2 linked regions of the Drosophila melanogaster genome follow. The protein of the gene in region 2 purifies or fractionates together with the protein of the main gene of each other region. This does not show direct contact. Each region holds a gene or a part of one and is shown on either strand. Other genes may lie near its edges.

Region 1 (4,709 bases), on a different chromosome or scaffold from region 2:
CTCGTCAACCAGCGTGGCTACGTCCACATCTTCGTTTAGCGCCCTTGAATTGGATGTTGGACGCACATGTGCCTGCTCTAGATCCTGCAGCTGCTGCTTCAAATCATGGATGCTGTCCTGATCTTGCTGACGCAGGCGGTCGTAGCTGCCGACAGTGGTGCTGAGCTCCGCCAGGCGTGCCTCTAGACTGGCCACGCGATCCTCGTGCAGCGCCGCCTGCCTGCGACTCTGTTCCTCGGCACGCAGCACGCGACGCTGTTCCTGACGAATGGCCACTGCATGCTGCTCCTTCAGTTGCTGCATCTCAAGGCGCACTTGCTGAAGGAGAGCGGCGCTGTCCGCACTCGCTGACGCTGCTGCAGAGTGCTCGGTCTTGGCCTGGAACTGTTTCAGCTGGGAGCGAGCCTCCTTTAGCTGGGATTGCAATTCCCGTAGCCGGCTATTCTCTGCCTCGTTGCTGGCGAACTGGGTCTTGAAGTTGTTTAACTGCATCTCAATGTTGTCCTTTAGATGCCGCTCGTCCGCATAGAGTTTCTGCAGTTCGCGGATCATGAGCATTTGGTTGTTGGTCTCTTTCTCGCGCTCCTGTCGCTCCACGATCCACTTGGCCTTGATCTCGTCCACGTCGCTTTTGGCCCGAGCAGCCTGCTCCTTGGCCCGGGTATTAAGCTCCTGAATGGTCTGCTCCTTTTGGGCGATTTGGCTGCGCAGTTGCTTTTTATCCGCCTGAAAGGAGGCCTCCATGCGGGATTTCTCAGCGGAAAGAGTGGCCAGCGAGTTCATCAGGGTGATAATTTGGGTCTGCAGTTGACCCTCGGCCGGGGGAGCAGGCGGACCCGGTGCAGCGCCCTCGGTTGCTCCATCCGCAGAGTCGGTGCTGGTTTTTTTGGACTCCAACTCCCTGGCCGGCGATCCGGACTCGCCCACCGCCGTGGCCTCCGCATGCGCCGCCAGACTCGTCTCCAATGCCTCCTTCTCCTTAAGCAGACCCTTGTAGGCAGTGACCACGTCTACAAATTGGGCTCATTAATCCATTTGCATTGCGAATTCATCTATGTCTCACCTTTTAGACGCTTTTCATAGCGCCCCAGTTGCTCCTTTTGGGTGGACACCAGCGCCTCCAGCTCCCTCTGTCGCTTCTCCATTTCGCCTTGAAAGGGAATTAGTTCATTTACTTTCAGTTCGCTTAGTAGTTCAATTTATTTATCTCCCGTGTCATTTTTGCATTTCTTTTAATTAACAAATTTCAGCAGCTGGCACGCGGGCCTGCCAACTTGTCATGTTTGCTCAGGCACTAAAAATTGCCATCATTCTGATTTAAACTTTTTTTTATTTTTGCGGTTTTTCAAAAAATAATTAATAACCAAATTTACATAAATTAAAAACTATTTTAAATGTAAATGTATTATAAATCAGCTGCATAGTTGCTAAATTGAGATATTTTCAAACATTAATATTAGTCCAATTAAAGTAAATTAAATGTTGAGCCTAACTAAATCTTATTTCATTCGCCCTCCTCGTCCTTCATCATCTGCTCAATGAGTCTCTTACGTTCCTCAGCTTGGCGCAGCTTTCGCATGACCAGGTCCTCGTAGTCGGTGGATGACGCACTGCACCCAGTGGTGGCCGATTTGGTTGTCTGCTTGTCTGCCGCCGGCGGCGTTACCCACTCGAAGTGCAGCGGCTTGGCGGGATCGCCTTTTTCGTAGGCCAAGACCATGTCGCAGGCTTCGCGCGTGGCCAGCTCCACCATGGCGCGTCCGCGTCGCTTGCTGTTGACCACCAGGGCCACCACGTCGCCGTACTTCTTCAGATACTTGAGCAGCTCTTGCTGTGTGTAATCCTGGCCAGGTTCGGCCTTCCACTTCATCTTGATGCGATGCTGGGCGGAATCAAACTGGACCGGCTGTTGCTGCAGTTTCTGTTGCTCCGCGTGATTCCGCCGGAACTGCTCCTGCATGGCTCGCTGCTCCTCCTCCAGCAGACGGGAGCCCTCGCGTCGCAACCGCTCGATCTGCTCATGCAGCACCTCCTCGTCGCTTTTGGCCACCGTGCTGTAGGGTTGGCTCTTCGCCAGTTTGTGCAGTGCCGCCCGTTCACGTTCCTCCAGTTCCAGCTTCAGCTTCTGCCGCTTCCCGTCCAGTTGGCGACTCCTCAGCTCCGCCGCCTTCTTGGCCTTCAGCACTTTGTCATAAGCTGCGCGCGCGGATTCATCCGTGAGGATCTCCAGAGCCTTGGACAACTCATGGAAGCGCTCGACTGCCTTCGGATTGTCCGGATTCTTGTCGGGATGGCACTCGAGGGCCTTCTTGCGGTACGCCTTGCGTATCTCATTTTGATCAGACTCGAGAGAAATGCCCAGAAGATCGTAAAGATTCACGTCACTGTACTTTTTGCTAGCCATTTAGTCTTATTTTACTCCTTATTCAACAACTGGAACATGGGTTTGTTTTGCAGTTTGTCTTTTTTGGGCAAAAGTTAGCTAAAATATACTATTTTATACGAGACTTATTTCACAACTGCAGCCGGCGGTCCAAAAATGTCCAAATAAAACATTTGCAATTGTTTACTGGATCAGCTGTTCGCTGCAACGAGTTGGCAGCCCCGCAACACAACGTGCCCATTTGTTTGGCGTGGATTAATCTAAGTTATCGCAAAAAAAACTCAAATATAATATGACCTTTAGGCGCTGAATTAAGCTGAAGGTACGTCATGAGCATCTATCACGACGAGGTGGAGATCGAGGACTTCGAGTACGACGAGGAGGAGGAGATGTACTACTATCCCTGTCCATGCGGCGATCGATTTCAGATCTCCAAGGTAACGAGTCGTATACGCAACCTTTTTTTTTCTGGACTCCCCATATCACTTGGTAAATTTCCACTTTAGGAGGAGCTAATCGAGGGCGAGGAGGTGGCCACCTGTCCCAGCTGCTCCCTAGTCATCAAGGTCATATACGATCCGGTAAGTGACTCATTCAGAAATACACCTAGAACTCCCCAGAAAACTCAAGCAATCTGATTTTCCGAATTTCAGGAGATGTTCAAAGCTGAGGAGGATGAAGAAAGTGCGCTGAACGAGAAGCTCGGCGACCTGAAGCTCGAGAAGAACTAACACACAGTTTGGTGTAATTAAATAGTTTTTATTTATATATTTTTATATATATATAGACTTCATTTTAGTGTAAATAATACGATGACTAGTAAAACAATGATTTCAAATTATGCAAGCTCGCAAAAACAGTTTCGATTCGTTATGGATTATTCGTTTTGGGTGAATTACAAAGGATTTATACACACATTCTAGAATATCTAAAACTAAAACACTCATATTGCACCGAGTACACTTTGTTATATATGTTTTACAAGCGCGGAGGACAACAATATGATGATAATCGAACGAAAATTTGGAAACACAAACAAGTTAAAGGAACGTCAGCGTACCAGCTGTGGAAATGTGAGTAGTACAGCGAGTTACATACAATGGAAAGCGGTTGGAAAAATATATAAATAACATACACCTACCACTCTCACTTTCTGCTTACGGCTTAGGAATTCGACTTAAACTTAGCACGAAAATATTGTTATGGTTCGCCATGCAGTGTTTCTGTCCACTGCATCGCATACTGAATCATCTCTGCCACCGATCTTTTCCTTTTTCTTTTAGAGAGCGTGCTCGTTCAGCAAATGAGTGGAGGTGGACGACGTGTCCCGATCTCCTCCAATATACGCGCCTAAGTGCTTCGCGAGTGAAAGGGACGAACTGCGTCTACTCGATCTACTGCTCCAGCCAGGATCCAGTGACGGCATTGGGTGACTTAAGCTGCGGGCCACAAGAGGAGAAGTGAAAAAGTGAATGTGCGAACGAAGTTTAATGGGAGCACTCTGCTCCCATGTTTCCATGCTCACTCACCTTTATGTTGAACTGCTTCAGAGTGCTCTCCAGTGCCATGGCATTGCCCGAGAAGTAGGCAGCGATGGCATTGTGCAGCAGAATCAATTGCTTGTGCATCACTTTAATCTATCGACGGATAAACGGATTGGATCAATGGTTAGTCTCGCTAAATGCATAGGTAAGATCCATTTGGCACCACTTACGCGATTCTCGTCGAGAAATTGCATTTTGACGGCCACGTCCGAGCGCAGCTTCTCATATTGCTCCTTGTGCTGCGCATAGCTGCGCTGGGTCTCCTCAAGAGCGACGGCCGAGGGCGTCAGCTCCGGCTTGGTGTTCTCCAAATCCATGCGGTAGGCATCGAATTCGATTCTAAAAGGCAGGAGGACATTACTTCTACTACATATAATTCTCATGCCTTTTTATGAAACATACGATGGCTTTAGGAAATAAAAACTTATTGCCATTGTAGAGATTATCATGGAATGCGGTTATGACTAATTGATCCAACGTATTTAAATTTTTTCAAGGAAATAATACGATAAGCAATGTTTCAAGCTTGTATACAAGGCTAGTTTAAAATGCATTTCTGATAAGAGCTGTGTGGCACAACACTTTTTATAAAAAGCCACACACATGCTGAGTTTAAATTAAAATCGAAGAGATCGATGATGATTTTTCCTTCGTTGTTGCACGACAATGAAAGGATATAGCTTTGGTTACCTGGCCGTTTCGTACTGTCGTATCGTCAGCAGCGTATCGTCGATCGTCTTGTTGCACAGTGTGTTCACCGACGAAATAAAGAAGTTGAGCGC
Region 2 (5,801 bases):
ATGGCACTGTGCTCCACTAACCTGGAGAGCATCAGATTTGGACCCACAGAAAAGTGTCTATTGAAAGTGCGAGGTTATGTAATAACTATGCGCTGGGAAATGTGCGACTTATGGTCGGAGAGGGGGAGCGGTGACACCACAGTGCGGAGTTAACACCTCGACAGAAGCTGGCCGGGATTACCCCTCCGAAGAGCTGTACTTGTGACGGAGCGTCTGGGTTTGGGGCGTCTGCTGTTTATGTAACCAGTGACCCATTCGCTTATCAATTTATGAGCTAATTCCTAATTGCGTTTCCCACTTCTCCGCCTTGCAGTGATGAACGATCCTTTGGAGCACGCCACTGGTATCGAGAAGCGCGAGCTGCTGCTTAAGGCCGCCGGCAATGATAACCCCTTCGACATGAAGGTCTTCAAGCGGGGCGCCGGCACCAAGGAGAACCCCAACCTTATTCCATCGGCCTTCGATGCTCGCATTGTGGGCTGCATCTGTAAGTAGTCCAACAACACCAGCTGCGGTCAGGATAATGGCAGAGATTGGAGTATTCTATCAGCCGTAAAATTTGCATTCTATTCTGTTTAGGTGCATTTCAATGACGTTTCTGTGCGAAGCAAAATTTAATTCCTTTCATTGTAATATTTATCCAATTGAGTCGCTTTAATTTAATTAAGTTTTGAGCTCTGATTAGCTACACACCGCGTTTAAACGTTTTCATATATTATTTTGAATAATTGCACACACTCCAACTAAGGAAACCTTAATGCCTTTATCCTGACCAAAAATAAAGCCCATCATTCCAGTAGAGTACTTTCTAACAAACCTTTCATTCCAAACCAGGCGAAGAGGATCAGACCTACGTGCAATGGATGTGGCTGCAGAAGGGCAACCAGAAACGTTGTGAGTGCGGCCATTGGTTCAAGCTGGTGGAGAAGGCAGCTGTTTAAAGTTATTATTAATTAATTCAATAAACCAATTAATAACAAAAACACAACAACTACTAAGCTAAAAGTCAACCCACTTAGCTGTCCAAATAAACAAACATCAACCCAAAAAAAAAAAAAAAAACGAAACTGTGAACAGAGAGGAGTGAAAGGGCGGCACAGCTTCCATTTTCAGATCTGCAAACGTGTTTTCGAACGCAGCCGAGGAAAATTGCTTAATTAACACAAAAAGCGAACAATAAAGTCTAAAGAAGAGATTTTGAGTGAAAATCAAAGGATTTATTTTAAAAAAGCTTGTCTAAAGACAGAAGAAAGTTGAATTTCGTTTAAAAATGTTTAAAATCGCAGAACTAATTTAATTTTAATAAGGCAGTAGGCGTCTTAATAAGAAATCAAACATTTTCAAAACCCTTTGATCAGATTCAACTCACTCAAAGTGGGAAATTCTCGTGTGATAACCATAATTTTCTAGATAAACTCCTTTAAAAATGTCGTCCTACATTTCGCGTCTACTTAAGGCTCAGTCCGCCTCCAAACGTCTGATCTCCAATTTAACCCAGCGCGACGGAAAGCTAAGCTCTTTGCTTCGACGACTAGGTTTACAGTGGCAAGGATCAGCCGCTGCTCCTCAACAGCGTCCCATATCCACAACTCAGGTGCAAAAGTCAGGTAAGTAGTGGTTGCAGCTTGCAAAGATCTCCAGTTCAGGTCTCATGCCCGATTAGCGCTAATTGCGGACGATCAACTGGTCACCGGGATTCAGAAGCGCGAAATGCTGCTGGCCAAGCAGGGCTGCGAGGACCCTTGGGGTTTCAGCAAGGTGATCAGGCGCGGATCGGGAAGGGAGAACGACCCCACCGTCGTGCCATCGGCGTTCGATGCACGCCTCGTAGGCTGTCTGTGCCTGGATGACCGCTTGCCCAAGTGGATGTGGATTGAGAAGGACGAGGGACCGAAGCGGTGCGAGTGCGGCCACTACTTCATCCTCAAGAATGTCCCACCCGTTTAGATCGATCACACAGAGCGCTGTACTTAACACGAACACACTTGGCATGATCCTCAGCTGGCATTAAACATTGCATGATATTATCAAAACAAAGGCTTACATGTATTTGTTAGACGCACAACAACTATCTAAGCGTATAGCCCGTCAAAAGGTAGCCACTATTTCCGCTCATATTCACTTCCGGATGTGTGCGATTGGGCAGGATCTGGTAGGTGCGCAGCCAGTTCGAGGTCAAGTGCAGACCCGTCACCTTGCCTGTTGTTTTCAGCTCCATGAATGTCTCTTGTAACAGCTCCTTGCAGGTGCTGAATACCACCACGGGTCTTGAGGGTTTCACAAGAGGCAGCAGGGCTTGCAGAATGTTGGATGGGTGCTCCTTGGCGGCCACCACCAGACTGTCGAATTCGGCGTGCATCAGGGCCGTGGCCCGCTTGTTTTCCAAATGCCAGCGCGGAGGTCCCTTTGCTCCTATAACAACAGAAATAGTATTTGTACTTGTCTTGATTAGTTTACTATTGTGACCAATACCTTCTCTACCACTATTTGACTCATCCAGCTTGGGTTTCTTTGTGGTCGGTTCTATCGCCTCAGGTTGTTCCTCCGTTGGCGTCTCCAGCTGGGTTTCCTGAGGTTCGTTTTCACTGGGCTCCACAACGGGAATATCTGTGGCCTTCGCGTCCCCTCCTTGGTAAAACTCCCTTAAAACGGAATAGAGATTAACGGAAACACATCGCTGTTGCTGCTCCAGGGGTAGTTTCAGAGCTGAGAGCGCCTGCTTCTGGGGCACATTGCCCGGGTGCATGTGCACCAGGGTGCCCTCCGTGCCTGCGCCTATAGAGTTGAGCATGGCAGCCGGCAGTAGACCATTGGTACCACTCTCGTACAGCAGATAGCTGCCGAATCCACAAACGCCCGAGTAAGAAATAATTTGCGATAAAGTGTCAACGCGAATGCCCATGACCTTTTCCGAGTCTTGGCGGTAGAAGATGTCCAGCATCAGACGGATCGTTGGCTGGCGGATTTGAACGAACTCGAAATACTTTTTCTCCTTCTTTAGCAGGTACTTCTCTTGGGAGTACTCCGTTCGGTTGTGGAAAGTCTTAGAATTCTCCACCAGCTTCTCGATGATTTTGCTGGAGTCGTTGCACTCCTCACGCAGCTGCGCAATGTCCTCTGGTTTCAGGGTCTGCGCTTCTCCATCATCCCGGATGTCCCGATTATCCGCTCCACTGCTGGAGATGCCCAGAACCTCTCGCGTGCTTCTCAGCTCAGTCTCGCTGCACAGCTCCAAGGTGTGTTGTCTCTGGGCGCCCCTTTTACCCGGCTTTGTCTCTTTGACGCACATCTTGAACGTGGAGCCATAGGGTTGGTCCAAAAGAGACTTCAGCTCCAGTGTTTCTTTGCCCAATGTGGCCGTGGTGTCCAGACTGCCGAATTTTTGTAGCTTCGTATATTTCTGCCGCTGGATGACGATGTAGTCGCCCAATTGGATTCTGGGGATGTCCTCTTCGGTGGCCATGGTTGCAACTCTATGTTATAATTCTTATAAACAACGTGTTTGTCGAAAACAAACGAAAGCCGCAAATTCTATAGAGAAGAGGAAGAGAAATTCAGTGCTGGAAAACGGACAAAATCTGGTAATCTAGTCACCTGTTGCATGTGATTAGTAACGAAATTTTAAATAAAGAGCTATAATTAACAACAAATTATTTTCTTAATTTGGCAATACAAATTCATTTATGCAAACAAGAATATTTGGATTGATATTTGACTGATCTGGCAGCTCCATTACCTGTTGCTTGGCCAAATGTTTCACAATTCTAATTAAGAAATAACCATGAGTACTTATACCAAAAATTTCATTTACTTTAACTAATTAATTTTTGATCATGCAATTAGAACATTCAAGCACAATATCAATACTCCTAGTTAAAATATACACAAAAATAATATACAACAAATATGTACATACATTACCCATTTTTGAGATAAGTGGCTGTTTGCTGTTGTGCTTTAATAAGTAGAGTTGGTTGCTATGAATGCTTAAGTTGAACATGGGTGTAGCTAACAGGGATGGTGAAAGTGTGAGTAAATACCTTGAATTACTATGACTAAGTAATAATCATTGCCAAAAATACATTATTTACTGCCCATACTTACGGTCCCTCTTGGCGATTACGGAAGGGAAGGACTGCGCCCATGCGTAACGGCACCCCTCAAATCGCTTGTATCGACGCCCATAAATCATAATTTTCAACGGTGTGGCAACGCCGTTCGATCGAGTACAGCTGATACAACGCGGCGATAATCTTGTAGTGCGGTGCGGTTTTAACCTTTGATTGGATCTGTGTTGTAATCAGCGCTCTTCGGGCACTGCAGTTGCGTCTCCACGTGACCACTAGTTCCAGGCGAACCCCCCGCCACGAGGATATACCCTAATCCCGAAATCAGAGTGCTGTCGCAGGCGCAGGGAAAATCAAACCTTCCCGCCCTCCTACCGGTTTTGTGGCCACCGCGAAAATAACTGACCGCGCAAGTTTTCGGGTTTCAAGCAAACGCCTCAAGCACACGCCCCAATAACTGCTGTCGCCCGCATCAGCAGAACCAGAAAGAAATCCGAGCCAGAGCAGAACAGAAGTCGCGCAGATATGGCGGAGGCTAAATCGGAGAAGTCGCCTTTTATTGGCAAACAGCAGGCGCCGGTGACGTTAAATCCCTCGTGGGAATCCAAGTTGCCGCCCCATGATTCCAACGGCAAGGGATCAACGTCGGTGTTGGCGAAACTGGGCCTGCCAGCGCCAAAAGATAAATTCCTTATCGTGTTCTTTATATTCCTGCTGCACGGCGTGGGCACGCTGATGCCATGGAACATGTTCATCACGGCCAAGTCCTATTTCGAGGACTTCAAGTTCGGACCAAACAACACCGTGGCCACGGAAGTGAGTTACCGCACCCATTTCATGCAAAATATGGGCTTTGCCTCGCAGATTCCTAACCTGGTCTTCAACTGGCTGAACATCTTTGTCAACTTTGGCGGCGACCTGACCACCCGAATCGTCTACAGCATCATCTTCGAAATGGTCATTCTGCTGGTTACCATTATTTTGGCCATGCTCGACTCCTCGCAGTGGCCGGGCGTCTTCTTCTGGACCACCATGGTGTGCATTGTGTTGTTAAACGTGTGCAACGGCATCTACCAGAACACCATATACGGAATAGTGGCATCGTTGCCCATCAAGTACACAGGCGCCGTCGTCCTGGGCTCCAACATCAGCGGCTGCTTCACCACCGCCATGGCCTTGATATGCGGTGAGATCTTCTCGTCCAAGAGGACTTCGGCCATCTACTACTTCGTGACCGCCATCCTAGTGCTGCTGCTCTGCTTCGACACGTACTTTGCGCTGCCGCTGAACAAGTTCTTCCGGCACTACGAGACCATTAGCCGGAGCAGCGAAAAGAAATCTGATTCTAAGGCCCAGCTGAACGTGCCTTACTGGCAGATCTTCAAGAAAGCAGCGCCCCAACTATTCAACATCTTCCTCACGTTTTTCGTCACGTTGTCGGTTTTCCCGGCGATTCAGTCGAACGTGCACCGCTCCGACCCAAATTTCGTAGTAGGCCCGGACTACTTTACACTGGTCACTTGCTTCGCGACCTTTAACGTCTTCGCAATGCTGGGCAGTTTAACCACATCGTGGGTGCAATGGCCGGGTCCGAGGTTCCTCTGGGTGCCAGTGGTCTTGCGTCTGGCGTTCATCCCCTTGTTTGTCATGTGCAACTACGTTCCGCCGGACTCGGTGCGCTCATTGGCCGTATTCATCGAGAACGATTGGGTGTACTGGGGCATCGGCATCGCA

What was found. The genes of interacting proteins can lie anywhere in the genome.
Region 1: the proteins of Trmt6 (region 2) and CG17187 purify together in Drosophila melanogaster (affinity purification with mass spectrometry, with the first as the bait; one large-scale study listed by BioGRID). This does not show direct contact.

What each region holds. Positions count from the first base shown.
Region 1 is NT_033777.3:11,229,305-11,234,013, forward strand, and holds CG17187 (uncharacterized protein), read right to left. Parts: upstream 2,576-4,709; 5' UTR 2,405-2,575; coding exon 1,505-2,404; 3' UTR 1,313-1,504; downstream 1-1,312. Other genes in the region: GCC88 (GRIP and coiled-coil domain containing 88 kDa), read right to left, coding at 1-1,010, 1,064-1,145; Dph3 (diphthamide biosynthesis 3), read left to right, coding at 2,713-2,820, 2,890-2,964, 3,037-3,114; Arfip (arfaptin), read right to left, coding at 3,778-3,822, 3,913-4,020, 4,098-4,266, 4,618-4,709.
Region 2 is NT_033779.5:6,558,105-6,563,905, forward strand, and holds Trmt6 (tRNA methyltransferase 6 non-catalytic subunit), read right to left. Parts: upstream 3,557-5,801; 5' UTR 3,464-3,556; coding exon 2,473-3,463; intron 2,413-2,472; coding exon 2,069-2,412; 3' UTR 1,948-2,068; coding exon of another isoform or gene 1,664-1,947; 3' UTR 1,608-1,663; coding exon of another isoform or gene 1,427-1,607; 3' UTR 1,322-1,426; downstream 1-1,321. Other genes in the region: COX5B (cytochrome c oxidase subunit 5B), read left to right, coding at 314-487, 835-941; COX5BL (cytochrome c oxidase subunit 5B-like), read left to right, coding at 1,427-1,607, 1,664-1,947; Ent2 (equilibrative nucleoside transporter 2), read left to right, coding at 4,593-5,801.